6 linked regions of the Solanum lycopersicum genome follow. The main gene of each other region encodes a partner of the protein of the gene in region 5 in a complex. Links are inferred from orthologs where the notes say so. Each region holds a gene or a part of one and is shown on either strand. Other genes may lie near its edges. The genes, in order: protein TIC 22, chloroplastic; protein TIC 20-II, chloroplastic; protein TIC 40, chloroplastic; protein TIC110, chloroplastic; protein TIC 55, chloroplastic; protein TIC 20-v, chloroplastic.

Evidence for each region.
Region 1: protein TIC 55, chloroplastic (region 5) and protein TIC 22, chloroplastic share a complex: the UniProt entries of both Arabidopsis thaliana proteins name them as parts of the tic complex. The link is inferred for Solanum lycopersicum from reciprocal best matches to the Arabidopsis thaliana genes TIC55-II and Tic22-IV.
Region 2: protein TIC 55, chloroplastic (region 5) and protein TIC 20-II, chloroplastic share a complex: the UniProt entries of both Arabidopsis thaliana proteins name them as parts of the tic complex. The link is inferred for Solanum lycopersicum from reciprocal best matches to the Arabidopsis thaliana genes TIC55-II and Tic20-II.
Region 3: protein TIC 55, chloroplastic (region 5) and protein TIC 40, chloroplastic share a complex: the UniProt entries of both Arabidopsis thaliana proteins name them as parts of the tic complex. The link is inferred for Solanum lycopersicum from reciprocal best matches to the Arabidopsis thaliana genes TIC55-II and TIC40.
Region 4: protein TIC 55, chloroplastic (region 5) and protein TIC110, chloroplastic share a complex: the UniProt entries of both Arabidopsis thaliana proteins name them as parts of the tic complex. The link is inferred for Solanum lycopersicum from reciprocal best matches to the Arabidopsis thaliana genes TIC55-II and TIC110.
Region 6: protein TIC 55, chloroplastic (region 5) and protein TIC 20-v, chloroplastic share a complex: the UniProt entries of both Arabidopsis thaliana proteins name them as parts of the tic complex. The link is inferred for Solanum lycopersicum from reciprocal best matches to the Arabidopsis thaliana genes TIC55-II and Tic20-V.

Annotation. Positions count from the first base shown.
Region 1 is NC_090803.1:65,447,896-65,452,033, forward strand, and holds the start of protein TIC 22, chloroplastic, read right to left. Parts: upstream 2,801-4,138; 5' UTR 2,688-2,800; coding exon 2,250-2,687; intron 1,868-2,249; coding exon 1,805-1,867; intron 799-1,804; coding exon 724-798; intron 206-723; coding exon 155-205; intron 1-154. UniProt on the Arabidopsis thaliana protein: Involved in protein precursor import into chloroplasts. Imported into the intermembrane space via the Toc translocon. May be involved in the import pathway used by proteins without a cleavable N-terminal pre-sequence.
Region 2 is NC_090810.1:3,715,883-3,718,510, forward strand, and holds protein TIC 20-II, chloroplastic, read right to left. Parts: upstream 1,226-2,628; 5' UTR 1,189-1,225; coding exon 574-1,188; 3' UTR 501-573; downstream 1-500. UniProt on the Arabidopsis thaliana protein: May be involved in protein precursor import into chloroplasts. Not redundant with TIC20-I, TIC20-IV or TIC20-V.
Region 3 is NC_090810.1:11,546,921-11,550,420, forward strand, and holds part of protein TIC 40, chloroplastic, read right to left. Parts: intron 2,419-3,500; coding exon 2,324-2,418; intron 1,738-2,323; coding exon 1,668-1,737; intron 613-1,667; coding exon 534-612; intron 1-533. UniProt on the Arabidopsis thaliana protein: Involved in protein precursor import into chloroplasts. Part of the motor complex consisting of a co-chaperone (TIC40) and a chaperone (HSP93) associated with the import channel (TIC110).
Region 4 is NC_090808.1:26,785,271-26,789,251, reverse strand, and holds the start of protein TIC110, chloroplastic, read right to left. Parts: upstream 2,801-3,981; 5' UTR 2,657-2,800; coding exon 2,151-2,656; intron 1,933-2,150; coding exon 1,873-1,932; intron 1,213-1,872; coding exon 1,089-1,212; intron 955-1,088; coding exon 886-954; intron 789-885; coding exon 690-788; intron 478-689; coding exon 411-477; intron 1-410. UniProt on the Arabidopsis thaliana protein: Involved in protein precursor import into chloroplasts. Forms a voltage-dependent cation-selective channel at the inner envelope of chloroplasts, which specifically responds to a transit peptide.
Region 5 is NC_090811.1:67,626,382-67,630,612, forward strand, and holds the start of protein TIC 55, chloroplastic, read right to left. Parts: upstream 2,801-4,231; 5' UTR 2,646-2,800; coding exon 2,200-2,645; intron 1,116-2,199; coding exon 1,013-1,115; intron 916-1,012; coding exon 1-915. UniProt on the Arabidopsis thaliana protein: Involved in protein precursor import into chloroplasts. Part of the redox regulon consisting of TIC32, TIC 55 and TIC62.
Region 6 is NC_090811.1:6,212,382-6,215,251, forward strand, and holds protein TIC 20-v, chloroplastic, read left to right. Parts: upstream 1-1,483; 5' UTR 1,484-1,559; coding exon 1,560-2,153; 3' UTR 2,154-2,370; downstream 2,371-2,870. UniProt on the Arabidopsis thaliana protein: May be involved in protein precursor import into chloroplasts. Not redundant with TIC20-I, TIC20-II or TIC20-IV.

The sequences.
Region 1 (4,138 bases), on a different chromosome or scaffold from region 5:
GTTTAACCATATTCAGCAGTCCACTCTCTGATATACAAAATATTTAGCAAAAGCTTTCCAGTGAGTGAAGGCTCATAATTCAAAAAATACACAGGCTGAGCATGTAATGTTAGAGTTTTTTTGCATACAGTTGGCAAAAAAGTTTATATGCTACCTGGAAAACAGGGACTCCATCAAATCCAGTCTTTACATCAGAAGCTTTTAACTGTCACAGGAAAAGACAATGTTGAGATGAACAGATTTTTTTAATAAGCATGCATTGAAATATTATGTTTAGCCAAATAGATATTTCCAGGAGGAGGAGACAGAAGTTGGGTGGCAATGGAGGTCAAGCCATTAATAATCTATGCTTCATTTACTAGACTAGTGAGCAAGAGCCTACATACCAGGCATGTCAGTAACCCAAGTTCAAATCTCGAAAAGACCTCCATTTTGGAAATATTTGAATTAACAGTAAAGAGAAGAAAAAACAAGGGTATGTCAGTGGACCTCAAAAATTGATGGGTTGCAAGCAATTCTACCACCTCTGGAATCTGGTCATTAGTTAAAGCTACATGCCAGTGTACTTTCACGTAAAACTATCACAGGTAGATGAATATACATATACAGTATAACTTTCACTTGCACAACTGAACAGGCGTCCTTGTGCAATTCTACTACATTCAGTGGAAATTACAAGGATCCCAGACACAAAACTTAAGGATGACCAACATGGGTAACTACCTCCATTGCATTCTTAATTTGAACAGGATCTGGCAAAAAACGAAATGCGATTCCTTCAACCTTCAACATGTAAACCTGCAAAGTGATACCAACAAGAAAGACGTGTAACTATTCAAAATACGGGACAAGTGCCTGGCAACACCTTTAGGAAGAAATGGAAAAGCAAAAAACAGAAATTCTTGCACATACAGACAACTGCAACTAGTTGCAGTAGATTATTTAATGTACACTGGACCTGTTAAATAGAGACAAAAATGTCTTTCATTCTTAAGTTAAGCTTCAATTTTTTCTTTTTAATTTAATAGCAGAAGAAGATATATTAAACGGGACAGATCAGACGTCTGAGGCTCAAAAGGAGCACGATAGGATCCCCTTTTTTATGGATGAACAAGAGATACAAAATGTATCAATAATGCATACAATTTATCTTAATGATGTAAAAGAGAAGAAATCACTAAAAGGAATGGTAAAGGAAAATGGCTCAGTAAATTAATCTTAACCTGAGATGGTCAGGTAATCTAATCGAGCCTTATCTCAAGGGGTGCGTTTGAAAAGACTCCATTGCTTATGCTAAATACCATGCATGCTCTGTTTTGATTCAATCAATCAACTATGTGTCAATCTAAACAAGTTAGGATCGGTATCTCCATTCTGCTGTATTTGAATCCAACACTTCTTTAACTAATAAGGGACGATTCAATAACCATCAAAGTTTATACCCATTCTTGCAAGAAGAAGTTATCAATATATGCAAAGAAATAGATTGTACATATACACACAAGTCGATCATCAGTAGCTTCTGACTTTCCACCAACCAATCTTGATAAGCACTAGAGACAAAACTGTCCATCACAAATACCATATCTATTACCAGACACTTTCATGGTACTAAAATTTTGCTAAAGTTCAATCCTTAAAACAAGAAAATGGCCTTCTCCATAGAGTAATCTAATGTCACTCCTAAAGTTTGCAATTCTTTTCAAATGAATGTACAAACTTTTAAAAGGAAAGAAGAAAATAATCACCAAAGCAGATACATCCTTAAAAGAAAAATTCCTAGCAAAAGGAAACAAAAATTCACCTGATCAAGTGTCAACGGAACTACCTTAGCTCCACCTCTCACTTCCTTCTTCCGCAACCGTACCTGAAAATCTTCACGTGTTCATTTCTCCACAAACAAGCCTTCCATGTATATCAAAACTTCTATAACAACGCCTCAATTGCAAACTAATAAGGTCCACATTATGTCTTCTGTATCTGCTATCTTATGTATCAATTCCACTATATTCAGGTTCAATACATCCCAAAAATAAATAATTTGACCTTTGAAGGCAATGTTCCAATGATAATTACCCAATAATTTCTTTTAAAGCAATCATCTTTAACTTAGTTTTCTCTTTTGGGCTAATTTATACATATCTTTTCCCCTTCCTGCTACCCTACTTTGATAAAGGAGTTCATCTCTCCTTTCACTCTCTTCTATAGAGAAAAAATTCGATAAATTCATTTTAAAAAATGAAGTTCACCTGAGCAAGAAATGCCTCGGCGTCCTCTTGACGGAAGCACAATAATCCGATTGACTTCGCACTATTCGGGTCCGAAATGAGCACGAATTCATTGTTAGAATTGCTAACTGTGTATACAGAAGTTCCAGTTAATGTCTTAGCAACATAATCCGAGCTCAAACCGGTATTTTTAGCGACCTTCTCTTGACGCTGCGACACCGAAGCGAACGGAAGAGATAGATGATAAGAATGCAACGGCAACGAACAACTCCTCCCTATCGCCGCTGGCAGCGGCTGCTGCATAAAATCGGCGGCGATTTTAGAACTCAGCCGTTTCGCTTCGTCGAATCGGTTAGCGAGTTCAGCACCGAGTCGGGAGCAGTGCTGGTGGACGAAGGTGGAGAGAGACAGTAGAGGACTACTGGAGGGTCCGAATCCGCTTGAGGGTTTGGACTCCATTGATTGTTTACAGAGAAAGGGGAAGAGGATTCGGAGAAGAAGGCTTTCGTATTTCAAGTTTGGGCTTTCGGTTCACATTAGGTCCAATTATTATTATTACTAATCCATCTACTAAAGGCCCATCCATCACAAATCACAATATATAATAGTCTCGTTTGTCTAGTTTATATACAAATATTATATAAAGAATATCGGCATAAGATATAAATAGGCACACTCAAACTTGATCTCAACTATTAAGTAAAAATATCTATTGAACTCAATTTGATCTCAACTAACAACCCCTCTATTTTCCGTGGACACTTGATGCTGATGTGACATGTAAATTTTAGAGGTGTCTAGATGATTACTTACAAAGCTGGACGCTAAAGATGAGTCGAAGTATCTAGATGTGCATACTCAAAGTTAAAGTGTTAACTTGCCAATTGAGGTCAAATTTGAACATATCTGGTCGTTTTGTTCACAAACATCAAATGCAAGATCAAGCAACTTGAAGCCAAGTGTGGTGTTTTTTCATTAAAAAATAAACTTTTGAGATCTTTGTTTATTACTACGTGCTTGTAAAATAGAATAGGAGGGGTAACGAGGGCAAATTTAGCCCATTTTAGTAACGACAAGGACATATTTGACCTTCATAGTAATGAATGACAAATTTGTTTTAATTGCATAGTTCAAAAACAAATTTGATCCTTTTCGATTCTCCATAAAGTAATTAAATATAGGGATGACTTCTCAATTAATTTTCATGTAACTTGTATAGTACAAAGTTGACACAATTAATTTCTTATCTGCATTGTTTCATAAGTTATTTAGTTGGAGTAAGACCTAGTATAAACCACAAAGATGCAACAATAAAAAAATAATCAAAGCTTATTAACTCAAATAACCTCCATTTTATATTCACCAAATTATTGTTCGATAGTACATAAAAAGTTTCTAATGACCTGAAAAACATATATTCGTACGCATATTGTTTTTAGACTTGGCATTTACATGCAAGTTAAAGTTGTTACTTGTAACTATTAGACTGAGACTTCAATCTCATGTCAAATTATGTTTACATAGACACAAATAATGAAAATAATTACATGTATATAAGTGATTGGAAGCTGGATGAGAAACAAGTTACTCATATTAATTTTTGTACAACTTATACATGTTTAGTAGGTGGATAAAATCATAGAAAATAAATTATACATGTACAAAATTAATACAATGTTTAGTTGACAGTTAAGAAATCTGCACAATTAATACATGTATAACTTATGATGAAATCTATTTATTATTTAATGCATAATAGAAAGTGGAATAATTAATTCTAATAATCTAATGTATGTCTTATGGATAACTAATACACGAATAACTCATATCTGCATAAAATAATGGATCGACTAATTCATAAATAATCACTACATTACTAATAGATATCAATGCATAACTCTAACCAACTA
Region 2 (2,628 bases), on a different chromosome or scaffold from region 5:
GTTTTTCTGGTCAATGATAGTATTCTGGTTTTGGCCTTGCATGATGAACAAAATGTAGTTTTATTATTCTTTGTTGAAGTTCAACCCTTTAACAATGTAACTTACGACAACAGAAACAACATAGTCAGCGTAATCCCACAAGTGGGATCTGAGGAGGACAATGTATGATATGCATGTAGACCAAACCTTGAAAAGTGTTGATATAAGCAAAGGAATTATATTCTCTATTCAACAAAAGCCATTGATATTCCTTAGAGATCGTTTGATAGCTGATAAAGAAACAATGTATTATTGAAAACCCATTATTACTAGTACATTTACGAGTTGTTCGGTGTGAAGTATAACGTGTAATGATTCCATTACAAAATCAAGATATTATTATTTATCCCAAGAAGTTACTTTATCAAGATTTGAACTTTACGAGCCCTTTCCATTGCATCTCTCATGGAGAAACATCTCATCGACGATTCGATTTAAAATATCATACATTAAAATTACAATTCTATGCAACAAAAACCTTCCTTTCATTAGAGAAAACCACAAAACAACATATTAAATAAATTTTAAAAAGAACTACATTTGCCTATTAGCAGCTTCAGTAACAAAAGGCAAATAAGGAGTTTTTCCAAGTATAGAAGAAACAAGCCCATAAATAAAACAGCCCACAACAAACACAAAAAGCCCATTATGCATCCAAACCGTAAATTTCAGCCCAATACCCGATTGACCCGGTGAAAATATCCTCTGAATCAACATCGGAAGCACCAGTAGAACGTCGAGCACCACCGCTTGCAGGGCGTTGAACCGGGGGTACTTGTTCAGATTCTCGTTCCGAACAATACCTAAGTAGAGTGCAAAGAAAGTGACAAAGCTAGCGTATGGGAGGGACCGGTAGAGTGATAGAAGAGGGAGAATTGGTTGAAATGGAAGAGCTAGGGTTGGGTATTGAGCGAAGAGGAAACGGCCGTATTGAAGGCCGTTGAAGAAGGGGAGAAAGTAAGCGACGGCGGAGATAAGGCGGTCGGTGGCGGGGATTGGGTTGTAAGAGGCGGAGATGGAAGTGGTGGGTTTGGTATGGATACGGGTTCGGGTTTGAATACGGGTTTGGAGTAAATTGAGGCTGAGAGGGTGGGGGAGAAGACGAGGGGTAGTAGTGGGAGTGAAACGGAGAAGAGGAATGGAAGCCATTTTTAGGGGAAATGTGAGGTTTTTTTTGGGTGTTTATAAAGATGGATTTTTGTTGTTTGAGGTACAAGTTGTAATGCATTATTTTGATTAAAAAATTAGAAAAAAAATAATTTCCGTTGCCGGGACTTGAACCCGGGTCTCTCGGGTGAGAGCCGAGTATCCTAACCAACTAGACTACAACGGATTATTGATTGATCAACGAGTAATTTTCAATATAGCTCGTTGTGCGTCGCCACCTCTCAAATATCATATAGGTTCAATTAAGATTGTGTGAAGTTCTTTGTCAGTTGGTTGTTATGTTATGTGTTGCCACCTCTCATCTGTACATTCGATTAAAGTTGTTGTGAAGTTCAGGATTAATCAATTGATTGTTGTGTGTTGCCATCTCTAACTTATCGTACACATTTAAGTTATAGTTGAGGTACATAGGGTCTTATCGTCTATCCGTTCAGTTAGGGCTACATATCGAACACTTCGGCTTTGAAGTTTATCGATTTGACTTATTAGTTATCGATTTGTAGATATGCTAAACGGTTGTAGAACCATTAAGATTAGCTTATCAGTTATTGATCGTTCGGTTCGATAATTTATTTAACCGTTAAGTTTGACAAAAAAACACATTGAAAATCACTTTAGAACAAGGTGGCAAACCAATTTAACCATGCACATGAATTCACAAGTTTCATCTTGCTCAAAAGCAAACACTTTTACATCGTAGAATAACCAAGTGTTTGAGACAATCAGAAACAAAAGTAGGAAACCAAACTCTAAATTAAGGACTTTATAAGCAAAATGATATGAATATAATTATTTAATTAACCATCGGATTATCAGTTATCCAGTTAAGAGATAACCTCAAAAGATAACCCGATAACAAAAAAAAAATCAAAGCCGTTCTCAAAACCGCTAAACCAATAACTTTTTTTCGATACGGAATATCGGTTCCGATCAATTTTGAACAACCCTACATTCGCTACACCGCATCTTTGCAGAGAACTCAGTTTCACTAAGTTCATGTCAAAGAGAAAGGGACCATCGCTACATTATTCCGAGTAGCTCATTATTTATGAGACAAAAATAAGATTTTGAGGAGGATGGTGTATACACAACCTTGCCCGTACCTTGCGAAGAAAGTTTGAAGCATGTCGTCACAAAATGAGAGCAAAAACAACACTGTGGAAATTCCAAATCTACTACAATGCAACTTGAAGTGACTATTCTCACATGAAAACATTTGGGTGGCAGTATACAAAACTGTAGTCAGGACTAGCTTACACTATATTGCCATAATGTAGGTCAATAATTTGAAAAAAGATATATCAACATATCTCAATATACTTTTTCCAGTTTCACTTCCTATATTCGCTGGCCTTTATCGATGAGGCAACTTCTCGGAAGATCCAAAAGCCACAATCTTTGAGTAACAAATGCCTGAAGGAA
Region 3 (3,500 bases), on a different chromosome or scaffold from region 5:
TCTAATAAGGACTATACATTAGCCAATTAACTCGAAGTTACCTTAATTACACTTTTCCAGTCATTCTCAAAAGTACATTCCACATCTTTATTATTTTCAACTAACTACCTACCATCTGTCTGAAATAAGGTATAATGCTCCAAGTCCTGCTCTCTTGAGTCCATCCAAAATCTTCTTTAAAACATCAATTAAGCATCCCAAATCTCATATTAGTTCACTTCCTTCCATCTTTACCACAGTAGTCTACAGCATACTATAAAAACCTATTCAATTAAACACAGTACTGATGGAATGACATTTTCCCTGCAATGCTTTAGAGAGGTTCAAAACTAAATCTCAACAAAAGAATTTTGATTCCATTAGAAGTGCAATACAATTTTATTTATAACACAGTACATAGTAACATGGTGTAACTGAAACTAGAGTTCCATTATCATAAATCGGAATGCTAAGTGATCAAAGATATCAGCAAATATTCAAGATAATCCAACACAACTCATAGAATATAACAGAAAAGGTAGATGCTATCTTACGGGTAAACCATCTTCTGCACTGTTGGATCTTCCATCATTTTCTCCAGAGCATCCACCGACAATAGAGGATTAGATTTTCCTGTTCAAGAAAGCAGATCATGCAAAATTACTTGTAGCTGAGAGAAGAGAGCATGAAGCAATTTGTTTTTTCATAAGAAGAAAGCATGAAGGAGAATTAGGCCCAAGTAAAGTTACACACAACATTTTACTAATAAACAGATATGACCAATAAAGCTGGACTATTTATCACTCAAAACCTCCAACCTCAAAACAAGTTTATGGACAGAGAGTTCCATGAAATCTGTAAGAAATAGGCCATTCTTTCGTAAAACATGTCTGCTAGAGCACTTAGCATTTTTTAGGATGTAGGAAGTTCTATTCAAGTTCCCACAGGAGTCGGGACACAATATTCGGGTCATTACAAAGTCACAGCTTCTGTCTGGATGTTCATCTTTCTTTTCTGAACCTCATTTGTCTGTATCTCATGCAATATCTCCTACAACATGGATTATTGACTTCAAGTTTTTACCCACTTCCAAATTTTATTTGTACATACATATGTGTGCATTACAATGATAATGCGGCCTTTAGCCTTTTGTTGGACTCAAAAGGATAGCATTGAAAACACAAAAAGTACTAACATTATGCCATTTCTTGGAGTCTTACACCCTGGAGATTCACCAAAATACCATTACGTATCTATATTATGCTACAAACATACTGCAATTGGACAAGAAACTGGGCTTTCTCCCCATTTTTTCCTAAATAGAAAAAGACCCCAGAATGTATTTTCCCCACCAGATTATGGAACATACAACCTCATTTCATTTTGTTGGGCATTATGCACTTCATAGTTTAACCACCTTGGGCATGATTCACAGCTTACCACATCCTCCAAACCACCCAATAGGCTAAAAGGGAGGATCTACGTAGCTATGAAGTATGTCCATGAATCCATCTTTATTATCTATTGCAAGATTCATAAACTCATAGAAATAATGATTGAAAAAGAAGGAAAAGAGGAAAATGACCAATAAAAACATGAGTAAGAAGATAGGAACATGCATCCAATCCTGATGCTTGAATGACATTCGTAGTACAACAGCTATGAGGGCCAACCAGCAAGTGATTTACCCGTTGATGAGGTACTGTCAGATGTATTTGAACCAAATCCCGACTGTGAAGCAGCTCCATTTTGAGTTACCTAATAGAGATTCAAAAAATATTATTGAAGTGCAATTGTTAGACGACACCTACAGGTGTCAAAATTGAGCACAATTGTAGGTAACCCGCCCATAATTTTGAGGGTTGGGCACAAGATAATTTCAATTGAATTCAATCCCAACCCATTCAAGTCCTAACCCATTTAAGAGAATCCTCAATTGAGGCCAATTTAATCTCCAATTTCAACCCGTTTTAAGACTCTTTATTTGCATTGTTGTAATGTATGTTCCTATATTAAAGGTATGGATTACTATCTATTTTATATCTTATCGGATTTATCTATCCATTTGTCACTTCTTTTTTAAAATTTTCTTTAGTTGAAATTCAAATTGTAGTTATATAACTTAAATAACAATACATTAAAATTGTTGAATTAAGCGGGAAAAATTGGGTGGGTCAAGACTCAACCTGTTTTTAAGCCCATTGGAACCCAAAGTAAACTTGGGCGGGTCAGGACCCAAACCCAATATCTATTTCAACCCATTTAATATCTCCAATTTCAACCCAACGCGCCCATTTGACACCCCTAACGACACCATATTCCCAGATAATAGCTACCAACCGACCTGATCAACAGTTACCGAAGCTGTCTCAGCTGAGTCCTTAAAATTTTCAAAGGCACCCTTCTGGAATGTTTCATCAGGAGAAATGTCAACAAAAGCTGCAAAAAGTTTAATTCACATAGTTAATATCATGAGTTCATAACCAGAAAATCTGAACATTTCATAAGAGTAATACAAAGTGTATCACTATCGCAAAAAGGTGGTTCTAACTAGGGAAGCATTAGCATTTTTGTAAATATGATTTAGAACAAAACTGCTCAGGTCCCACTACAACTAAACCCAGGTATTAATTTCTACTGGTCCACGATGGTTCTTGGCATTTAAGAAAGATGTCAAAGGAGGATACAAGTTACAAATCAGTTTTGTTTCCGCAAAGCATCCTACTATTCTTTTTTGAGGAGATCGTTATTCTGGGATATTAGTGGAGTCTAAACTTAGCTTTGGTCAAGAACTGTTGTGGAAGTCAGGCCAGTAATCTATTTGATTAGCAAAAGAAAAGAAAAAAACTTTTGATGATCGAGACACAAATAAAAATTTGTTAAATACTTGAAACGAATTAACCTCACAGAAATTGAAGTGGTACCTTCCTCCTGCTCATTCCTTTTATTTAAATTGGGTTTCCCTGCACTTCAATGTAAGCTTTTCTCCCAAACCAGCCTTCCCCTCCCCGTTATCAGCAAGGGGTTCTAATGATACATGAGGAGGTTAGATTTCTAGGGATACTTAGGATTAAAATGGCTATGACTTGGGGGGATTACACTTTTCTTAATTCAAACTTAGGGGATACCCTTGCAGAGTGCCAGCATAGCAATATTGTGTGATAGTGACTTTATGCATGAAAGAGATGGCAAGTGGTTTTGGGTGAGAAATACTTTGAAAATAAGAAAGAACAGAAAAGATGAATTTCCATATAAAAGCTCAGAAGATCACAAAGGATCACATCATGACACTCCAAATTCCTTCAAGAATGTTATGTAGATGGTTGATGTTTTGGTGTTTTTAAGATCAACAGCTAAATTGCTTAATCTTAAAATTTAGTGGTGAGCTCACTCATTTAAAATAGTTTAATTATCTCACTGATATACTCTAGTATCCTTCAGTTTATTGAGATAAACCAACGTTAAGGGTGATCAAAGCATGACATTAACAAGGTCTATTCAAAGGTAAATGTCAAGAGGCT
Region 4 (3,981 bases), on a different chromosome or scaffold from region 5:
GAGCTATCGTCAGAAGGCTCTCAAAACCCATAAACCAATAGGATATATCACTAAAATGCAAAGAAATTTGAAGCGACAGAAAGACTTCAAAAAAGTCTCTACTCAGTGCATGAATAGAACATACTAAACCCATGCCACATATGTGGAGCCTCATGGTATGATTCATCTTTGTTCAGGATTAAGCACCACATACCACAAAAAAGCCAAATTTAAGCACATATACAGATTTATTAGAATCAGTTTAATAGAGATCGAAAATTTTAGAAAACATACCCAAGAATATCGACAAGTAGTTTGGAAGAGCATTAGTTTAATTAGGTATGCAAAAGAAAACTAGTAAAATGGTTTCCTATGAATAGGTTACGTTAGAAGTAAAAGTGCCTTCAAAGGCATCAATAGAGAAAACTTACCTCGCCCAACAGACTTAAGCTTGGAGGCATACAACCGTTGTGCATTGTCCCTGACAGCAACATCAACCTAATGGCAAAAATGTTAAAACGAGTAAAAGGACACAGGGGGTCGCACTATATAGAAATCTAATATTACATAAATGAAGGGGGCAGGGAAAGAGACAAATGACAGGAACCTCAAATCAAAATACAGAAATGTTAAAACCACACAAGCAGGACATGCCACTGCACAATCTGAATACTCCACAAAGAGGGAGAGAGTGATAAATAATCCGCTACCTGGGCATCAGTAACCTTGAAAACACGTTTCCAAGGTAAAAGGAAAGCAGATGATTCTCCAAATACAAGAGTTGAGACATATATCAACTTCTGAAATGCCTGGAGAAGTCAAAAATGATCAAGTTCCATTTGTTGTTATTCGATAACTTAAGGCAGTAGTCTTTGGAAACTGAAGCTTTTTGAAGAGATGACCCACCCGACGTTGCTCCATATCTCCATCACGATCTCCCGTTTCAAGTCTTTGCCTGAAGATTCGCCTACCAATCTGAGAGATCAACATGTAAGAGTTTCTTAATACTTGGTAAATTATTTGATAACATAACATTTTAACTTTGAGCCAACCACAGCTAGAAGTTTTACAACTCTTAGGTACAGAATCAGATGGATACTTCAAGTTACCTCCATATGCATATCTGCTGCATCTGGATCATCAATTCCCAATGCATTTTTAAATTTGATTATTGTATCAACTTCATCGCCTCTAAGTTCTTCAGTACTAGCAGGAAGGACAGCAGATATATACCTGAACACAAACAAAATTGGATGCATATGTGACGGTAGATAAGCTGACAATGTTTAAACTACCAAGTTAGTCATTCCTTGTCATTGGTAGATAAAATAGTCAAAAACATTCAAATTTCAAGATAAACATTATAAATGGATCAGAGAAACACTATGCTTGATTCCCTTTAGGTGTCCAAGACAAGTATCACAACAGGATGGACAGTTTTCCATTCAAATGTAACTGGGTCAATATGTCAAGACAAGGTTAGAAAATTTGACACTTTCTGGGTCATAAAGAACTAAAATATTATAGAAAACTAGAAAAGTATGTGGAAGAAGTTGTAATTCCAGAAAGGTGACAGTATTTTCCTTCTTTTTTTGATTTGCAAAACTTGACACACTTTGGGACACATCTTGGGAATGGAAGAACAATAAATTTATTCTACAAAGTGCAAAAGCCATACTTTATCCTACAAAGTGCTTCAAAGGGTAAAATTTAGTTATTTATATCCAAGCAAGCAATTCATAAAAAGAAAAATTTGTCATTCGAGAGTCAGGGAGAAGAAACCAAAAATGAAAAAAAAGAGATTATCATATAACATTGAAAAATTGTAATAAATGCAAGTTTCGTGTCAGCCGTAAGAGTTTTTAAGAAATCAGTACTTGATTTTGCACTCACCGGCAATATATATCTCGCAGCTCCGCATTGAATGCCTCATTCTGTTTGCTGACACCATACCTTAAAGATAAAAAGCAGTAAATTGGTAAGGAAAAGACGTAGAAAAATAAGTATGAGAAAGTTGGGTGTGAGAGCTCATAATGTAGCTAAATAGTCCAAGATTCTGCAGTAGAGAATAACTTGCTCACACTTGGTATCTAATTTAATTAGTCACTGATAACACATATATATATTTTTTTTTTAAAAAAAAAAAAGCCAAATGTGCATAGTGGACAAACTTATTGGCAATTGATTCAATATCTTCCTTGTTCAAGGCAGCAGGGTTGTCAAAATCAGCGACATAGTTATGCAAATTAATAGCAGCAACTTGAGGAGCGCAAGAATTCAATGCATAAGCAGCGCCGGCACCAGCAGCACCAAAAGCAATAGCACCACCAAGCCCAGCATTCCGGGATCCACCAAAACGAAGACCAAGACCGTATCCAGCAGCAATAGCAGCAGCAAATATCAAAGCGGAGCTGGCTATTCTTATGGGGGGTGACATGGCATCAACAAGGGATTGAATAGGAGAAAGTTCCTTTTTACCTCCAAAGACATCTGGGTTGACGGAAGTAGGTTTGTGCTGAAGAGAGGCAGATGAAGATGAAATGACGGTGGACTGAATGCGGCGTTTTAGGTAGAATTTAGGGGTAAGACGGAGAGGTGTAGGATTGAGAAATTGAGAGCGGAAAGTGTTGACAGGAGGAGGTTGATTGATAGGGAGGAGAAGTGATGATGGGTTCATATCTACTACCTCTTCTAATAACTAGTTGATGTTCAAGTAGGGTTTAACCAAGTCGTCCGGAGTTTGGAACTAGGAAGAAGAAGAAGAGGATAGGGGTCTGAGGGGGTACAAGTTGAATAATAAAGGTTTGTTTGTTTTTTTGGAATAACATAGGTTTATTATCTTGTAATTGGGTCAACATAATATTATTTGTCATTTGCCGCATTTCAACACCAATGAATTGTTATATTTGTAAATCGATAAACGATATTAAAATTGTATAAACCAAAGTAGTTTACACATAAAAATATGTTTTTGGCCAAAAACTCGTTATATGTATGTAGTTTTATAAATTAATCAACAAAATAATAAGAAAATATATATATCAACAAATAATACATACAACTAAGATCAAAAATGTCATGTGATGATATATTTGTTTTTTCAATTAGTAAATGTTAAACAACTAACATTTTTAAATATTGCATTGACTTGTATTGAATTTATTTAGTAACAAACAACTCTTTCTAAATAAATTAAATTTATAAGCTAATTTAATTAAATAAAATTATGAGTACACATATAAAAGAAAAATCAAGAAAATAAATAAAATTGTCACGATGCAAAGTATCCCTAGGCGCGACATGGCGAATGAAACACCAAGAGGCTATAAACAAATTAAACTACTTGACATGAGTATGACATAATAAAGACAATCCAAAAGATATAATCAATATAAGTTGTAAATCTACCAATGGCATAAAAGATACCAACATAGTACATAAGGGAATACATGGAACATTGTCTATGTTTGACAAGTCCTCTATTAATCATAATGTGACTAGAACATGAACTTCTACGCCACGAATAATATCTAAAAATTGAAAAGATTAGAAACGATAAAGCCAGTGATGACCTAGCCCTCGAACTATGAAGAGTCACTAATCAATAGTAGCAGCAGTTGACTGATAACGCTCAAATCACTATCAGTAAAACTTAGCGAAAAGTACGGATAGAATCCCACATGGAATGATATATAGTGGAGAATTCCTTATCAAGAAATTTGGAGTTTAATTTAACACATTTGTAATAGTAAGAACAATAGGGTGGATAATACAATCAACTTAATATAAAGCTTAGGTTATCAATTATTGAAATTGAACTAAAATATAGATGAATCCAAGAGTTAACAAGCAATGTAGGGATGCGGGGATTGGAATGGGTGATTGTGCTGCTTTATAGAGATGAAAATTCATGAATATGCTAAGTCATCTTCATTGACGTTAATTATCTTTGATCTCAAAGCATCTATGCATAGAATCTTCTTTCGGACTCATCTAAATGTC
Region 5 (4,231 bases):
GCAATGTACAACATGTCTGAAGTATCTGTTGGCAGGGTTCGGAGCATATATTCCACCGATTCCTCCTTTAGCTGGCTGAGCAGCTGAAAAATTGGCAACGAAACCAGCAGGGGCGTGCTCAACGACAGCAGGTTGTTGAGGCAGGAAAATGGTGCTGTGACCGAAATGATAAGGCATTCCGTGCCCCACTTTGTCCATCCACTTCCTGTATTCAGCTACCCATGTATCCGACGACTTAAGGTTCAAGTATAGTTTCTTTGTTGGAACCTTTTCTTTCATTAGGATTTCGTTTTGGGACGAAAGGAACCCCATATCTTGCTCGAAAACCTTGCTTGCATTCTGATGCAAGAACCAGTTTGGGATAAATTTAAGTATCCCGGTTCGTTTTCTTGTATTCCCAAACCGAACAATAAGCATCGATTTCCCTTGTCCAGATGGTCTACAAAGAAAAAGACCCGAAAAGTAATGCTTCTCCCCACTCTCATCAACAATTTCTCTATTATTCTGAAGAACACAAGGAGATTCAAAACGTAAGAAGTTCGGAGTATAGTTTGCTTTGCCTTGATCTCTTTCTTTACCCCACCACCCTGCAAACCCTCGGTTAGTCCTTTCTGTCACCTCGAAAAACAGTGGTCCAGCATCTTCCCTTTTCGCCGTAAAATCTGTCCTATCGTGTGATATCGGGACATGAGCAGGATCCATAAGGTTTTCGAGAAGAATAGAGTGATCATAAGGGAGCTCGTGAATAGTAGAAATGTCTCGAAATCCTTTCCTCTCAAAATTTTCAAACCAGGGGATTTTGTTAATATTAGGTGGTGTTCTATGAGACATCCATATCCAGACTACTCCTTGGGAATCCCGAATTTCATATGTCTTCGTACAAGCTGATCGAGGAATTTTAGCATTTTCAGGTAGCTGGACGGAACAAAATCAAAGACGGAAATGAAAATAGAGTGCATAACATTACATTTGCAACACGAAACATAAACGAAAATGCATATATAAAACCAACCTGTGGTATCTTGACACATTTACCATCTCCGTCAAACTGCCAACCGTGATACAAGCATTCCAGTTTGCCATCATACAGTTGCCCTTCGGAGAGTTTGGCCAATCTGAATTCAGAAGAAATTTGTCACGATTCCGGAGTTACTGTTATGAAATGCATAGAAGTAAAGCAGAAAGAGGTACTGATCTCGCGACAATCTGGAAGTCAGTTTAGTTGAATCCTTAACTAATGGATAGACAAGACGGGGTAATGTAAGTTGTAGAGTGGCCTTACTGTCACGGACCACTGAGATTCAGCCCTTTGTTGCTCCGTCAAAACTAATAGATAGACAGAGATACATGCCAGATAGAGGGGGGAAAAACAGGGAACACTAAAGGAGGATTACTTCACACATTATCAACAGATATGAAGAATTAAAACATAACAGACTGACAGTTATACATTGTCGTGAATCGAACTCATATCAAGCTTCATTCCTGAAAATACACAACATGTACTAAAATACTTCTAAATCACTATGAGCTTATGGAAACGCGGAAAAATCAGTTAACATTCAGCAGCTTAACAAGACCAAAACTAAAGAGGAAAATGTTGTACGTTATTACACTCATTTGAGCTATTTCAAGAGGATACAATAAGAGAAGGGTAAATTCTGCTTGAACTCGTTGCTTTCAACTCGAACCACATAAGCCATTGGAAAATGCTATGGTTAGGTCCATCCATAAGAGGTGCTAAGTAGACCATTAACTTGTCCTCCTCCTATACATATAAATACATCACTATAGGTATTGGAAAAAACAGATGTTTTTCCACCATAGTATGATGAAAAAAAACGGAGCTCATCCGTCTTGTGAGACTTTCCAACGACTAGTAACTCAAATCGTAGTTGCTACAAATCGATTCTTCCTACTTCCCTTCTTGTACTTGTCCCTTACACGAAACATAGATTTTAGCTAATCAAGAGAAATTAAGCAACTACATAATGTATTAGCTATCACTTAACTACATAAGGAACAAGTAAAAAAGAAATGTCTATGCATAACAAGATCATGCTAAAATACTAAGTTCTTGAACAAACAAAGTTATCTCTGTGTGACCTATACGTTTAATTAGTACTATTTATATCGAGATGCTTTGTACACTGAACTGAGACAATGAAAACACAAACATATATAGTATGTTCTTTTTACCTATGTGGACATCTATCTTCAAAGCATCTAAGTTCACCACTTCCATCTTTATACAAAACAACTTGTTTATCAAAGACAGTAAGACCTAAAGGTGCATCATTAGGTACATTCTTGGTTAAATACAAAGGATACCATTCTTCAGTCCAATCATAACCAACAATTTCCCTTTGTCCCCTCAACTCATCTAAACTTGAATTTTCCAAAATCAAACTTTGATCCTCAGCTTCAAGATTCTCAGCAATTGCATAACAACTTGTTCCTTGTTTCTTGATTTGCTTATTTTGAAGATAAAGATTGAATCTTTGAGGTATTTGTAGAGAAAAAAGTGAACTTTTGGGGAGTGTTGTTCTAATTGAAGATGAGTGGAGTAGTAATTCAGATAGAAATGGTTGTTGTAAAGCCATTATTGTGAGTGATTTTTGGGAGGAAAAAGGAGTTGGATGCATTAGAGACACTTGTAGTTTTTGTTGACATGTTGAAGTAGAAGACCTTTGTGTTGCTTCTTGTTTTGTTGAACCAATGGTAGCCACACAAATACAAAGAATTGTTGTGTCTCAATCTACAATATTTCCAAAAAAGATGCCTTCTATCAACATGATATAATCTACCATTAAAATTGTCATAATATATATATTGGATTCTAAATTTGATTTCAAATTTTAACGCTGACCTTCAACTTTCATAATGTTCAAACAAACACTTTAACTGTCCAACTTTTAAATAAAAAAACACATGAGTCCTACATAACACAATACACATAGGATAAAAAATGATATGTAGAATATGTGTGTCTATTTATTCAACTTTAAGTGTCTGCTTGTGCACACCCAAAGTTGAAGGACATAAATATGATTCGAAGCCAAATTATAGAACATATTTATATATTATGCCCTTAAAAATAGATGTCTTTAGTGGTAAAAGCAGAAAAAATAAGTTTCATATATGACGTTTTGTTCCTTTCATGATTCAATACTTAGGTGAAAGTAAATATTTGTTATCAGTTCGATAGAACCTAGTAGCTTTTGTCTAAATTTTGTATGTGTTAACAAATAGATTTTATTAATATGCGTAAAATAAATTGTTCAAAACCCTAATAAACTATAAACTGAAAAGAATTTATCCATGTCTAATCCTTACATCATGATTTTTTTTAGAGTCAAACTATAAAAACGATTACCAATATTTTACGATGTATATTTGTATCATATTGATATGCAAAAAAATTGTAATTTATAGTACTTTTCGTATAATTTTTGAATATCTATTTTTTTAAAAAAAAATATTAAATTAACGTAATTTAATCTAACTTTAAAAATTAATTAAATTAACTTTCGAAAAACGCAATATGACAAATAAAAATAGACAGAGTGGGTATTCTTATTCCTTTAATTGAGTAAGCATATCATAAATTGTGTAAATTAAATATATTAGCAAAAATATCTTGCTAAAAACAATTAATAAAAGAACAAAGTAACAACATATAAAAGAAAAGGTCAAAGTAGGTTAACCATACCAAATTAGATAAGTTCTCATTAATTATTTCAACATGGATTACAATAAATGGTTTGCTTTTAGTATAAAGTATTACTCTATTTGGTAAAGATAAAAATGTATTAATAATTAGTAATTAGAATATTAATTATTGAAATACACAATTGGTCGAGATCTTTTTTTTTTTCTTATATTAGATTATTGATTTTTAATGGTGTAAGATTTTCTTTAGATGAGATAATCGATAATTGATAACAAATTATGTTTATACTATTTATATATAAAGTTTTTAGCTTAGAATTTAGTTTTGGCATAACACATGAATATGAACTTGATTTCAGTAGACAACTATACCCTCCAACGTGTGCATAAGTATGAATCTATATTTGTATAAAATTGAACAAGCAAGCACATGTGTCCTATATGGTATAATACATGTAGGAGACCACGTAGGACACAAAATTGTCATGTAGGTGCCACGTAGGACGAATGTGTCTATTTGTTTAGTTTTATTTAAGTATAAATGCCTACTTGCGCATAT
Region 6 (2,870 bases), about 61 Mb from region 5:
AAGTAGAAGAAAAAGTAAAAAGGTAAGATTTGATCCTGATTGTGTTGTAGCAATTTTTGAGCTTGGTATGGTATTTGAAAGTGTATACATAATTTTGTTCATTTCTTACTCTACTATATAAAGTCTCATTTTAAGATATTTCTATGCAGCTGGTACTTCAGGAGAAAAAATTATCAATTTGAGAGTTTATAAGGATGCAGCTCCAACAAATATTGATATTGGTTATAAGCCTCGAGGACTCAAGTGGAATGGTGGAGATGCTGTCACTGGTTCACAGTTGAAACAAATCACTTATTCAAGAAAAAACAAGCGTGGAACATCTAGTGCACCAAAGAATGCCTAATTTATGTAGAAAAATCACTTTTTGGTTGTGTAATTAGCAGCAGAAATTTGTATTGACTGCTTGAAACTTGAAGCTCACTAGAGCAAATTAATGGCATGAATGATCAATTTTTACTGCTTTTGAGGCATAAATTATCTACACTCCTTCAATTAAATCATTACAATAAAAACACAAGGCATTTACAATAGAAAAATCGATCAAAATTGTCCACAAAGAACTCTACAATCTACCATACATACTTTTATGAAGGAATCTAATTGAAGACAAATGAACCAACTAAGATCATTTTGTTACACAAATCCAAGTAGCCAATATCATCCCTACGATAATGCATATCATCCATATTTTTCTTGATCGATTCCTCTCCAATTCATATGTTTTGACTATTTTCGACAAACCCCATATCACCCTCCTAGCTTGAGCAGGCATTTCATCATCATACCATCGAAAATATCCACATCCACCTCGTGCCTACAAAATTAAAGAAAAAAATTGAATTATAAATAAGGTGATTCTTTACTATATTGGACAAAAAAAAGTGAATTTGATTTACCTTTGAAGTTTTGCAACAAAGGAATATACGTCCAGGATTGGATTGCGTCCATGAGATCTTCATTTTCACAACGTTCCCATATTGACATAGTACTTTCGCAGTTAAAGAAGAAGAAATCGATGAAGTAGATAAATTTGACATTGAAACTTGATGATTAAAAAGAAATCAATGAAAAAGAGATATAATATAATGAGCTAAAGAGGAGAAATAATGATGAAGAGAAACAAAAGAGGAGAAATAAGGGAAGAATGGGAGAAATTAGGATTAAAAGGGGGAAGAAAATCGTTGGTGGATGGTTCAAGATCCACATCAGCGCTTTTAAAGCGTCTGCACACGCTTAAAGGACGTGAGATCACGTTTGGCTCCACATTAGCCAAGAATATTTAAAAAGATCAAATTATAGGGGGTTAAAAGATTCAATAGGAATCTAGATTAGTTGAGGTAACTGGGAAAAACACGAACAACTTTAAAGACTTGCGTATGTATTTGACCCGTAGACATTTTTCCTCCAAAATGGATATGGAATTATGGATATTCAAATGGTATCAATGTAGCCCGACCCGCAATTCCATCAGGATTTTCAATTGACTGCTGACCTAATCCAATTTCCCCTTTTTCATTCTTTCTCCCCCCCAAAACAAATATCTTTGGCCATCCTCAACAATGGCCATCACCAATCTTTTATCCACCACCATTACACTCAAACACTCGCCATTTCTTCTACTGAAACCCTCAACAAAACTCAGAAACCCTAAAAGGCCAACAATTCGAGCTCAATCTAAGAACGACGACTCAGTAGATGGTCCAGATCGTTTAATCTCCGCCATAACTTACTTCTACCCTTTCTTTGATGGTGTTCAGTACGGTAAATATGTAATCACACAGTTTGCTCCAATACAAACACTTATTCAACCTTTAGTACCAGCTATAAGGGTTTTTAAGAGCTTTCCGCTTAACGGGTTGTTGGTTTTCTTTACACTCTACTTTATTGTTGTAAGAAATCCTAATTTTAGTAGATATGTCAGGTTCAACACTATGCAAGCTATTGTTCTTGATGTGCTTCTCATTTTTCCTGATTTGTTGGAGAGGAGTTTCAATCCAAGTGATGGGTTTGGGTTGGATTTGATGATGAGCTTTGATAGTACTGTGTTTTTGTTTCTTTTGGTATCTTTGGTTTATGGTACTTCGTCTTGCTTGTTGGGTCAGCTACCTAGATTGCCTATTGTTGCTGAAGCTGCTGATAGGCAAGTGCTATGAACTCGTAATTTTACTTGTTTATGAGGTTTCATCCTCTTTGTACACTTAATTATGTTTTGCTTTAGCTGACAATTAATATCTATTTCGTTCCGAAAGTAAATGTTTATGCTCTTTAGAGCCTTGTTCATGCATATCATTTTGCTGTTTCTTAATGTGGATATGTATATTCTTGTAATGGCATTTCGGTTTCTTTAATCAAGTAACTACTTTTTTTCTATGTATCTGCATTAACAAAAATATATAGAGGTATTTCTTTTTTATAACCGTAATGTCCTGGCGTACACCTCAACTATTTCATGGAATATCTTAACTGGAATTGTTCCAAGTGACTCTGCCCACTACAACTTAGGCAAATAGAAGATCTTATTGCCTCTGCATAGATTTGCACTTTCGTGTTGTGTAGTTTCGTTCCAGCTTCATGGACTTTGATGGCTTGCCATTGAGTGCCACAAAGGTGGTGATATTATCTACAAGTTCTGTCATTTTTTGATATGAAGATAGTTCAATCCCTATTTCTAGGTAACATGTTAGTTACATCACCATTCTTTTTTTTGGTTTTTGGATGAGGTAACATGTTACATCATCGGTATGTTGGTGTTTAAGGAAGAAATTCATGATCCTAGTAGCCAGTTGTATCATGATTTTAAGTAAGGGTCTCGTTTTGTATTATCTTGAAAAGGGCAAGTATGCAGAGATACACGGAAGTTAGGTATCAGG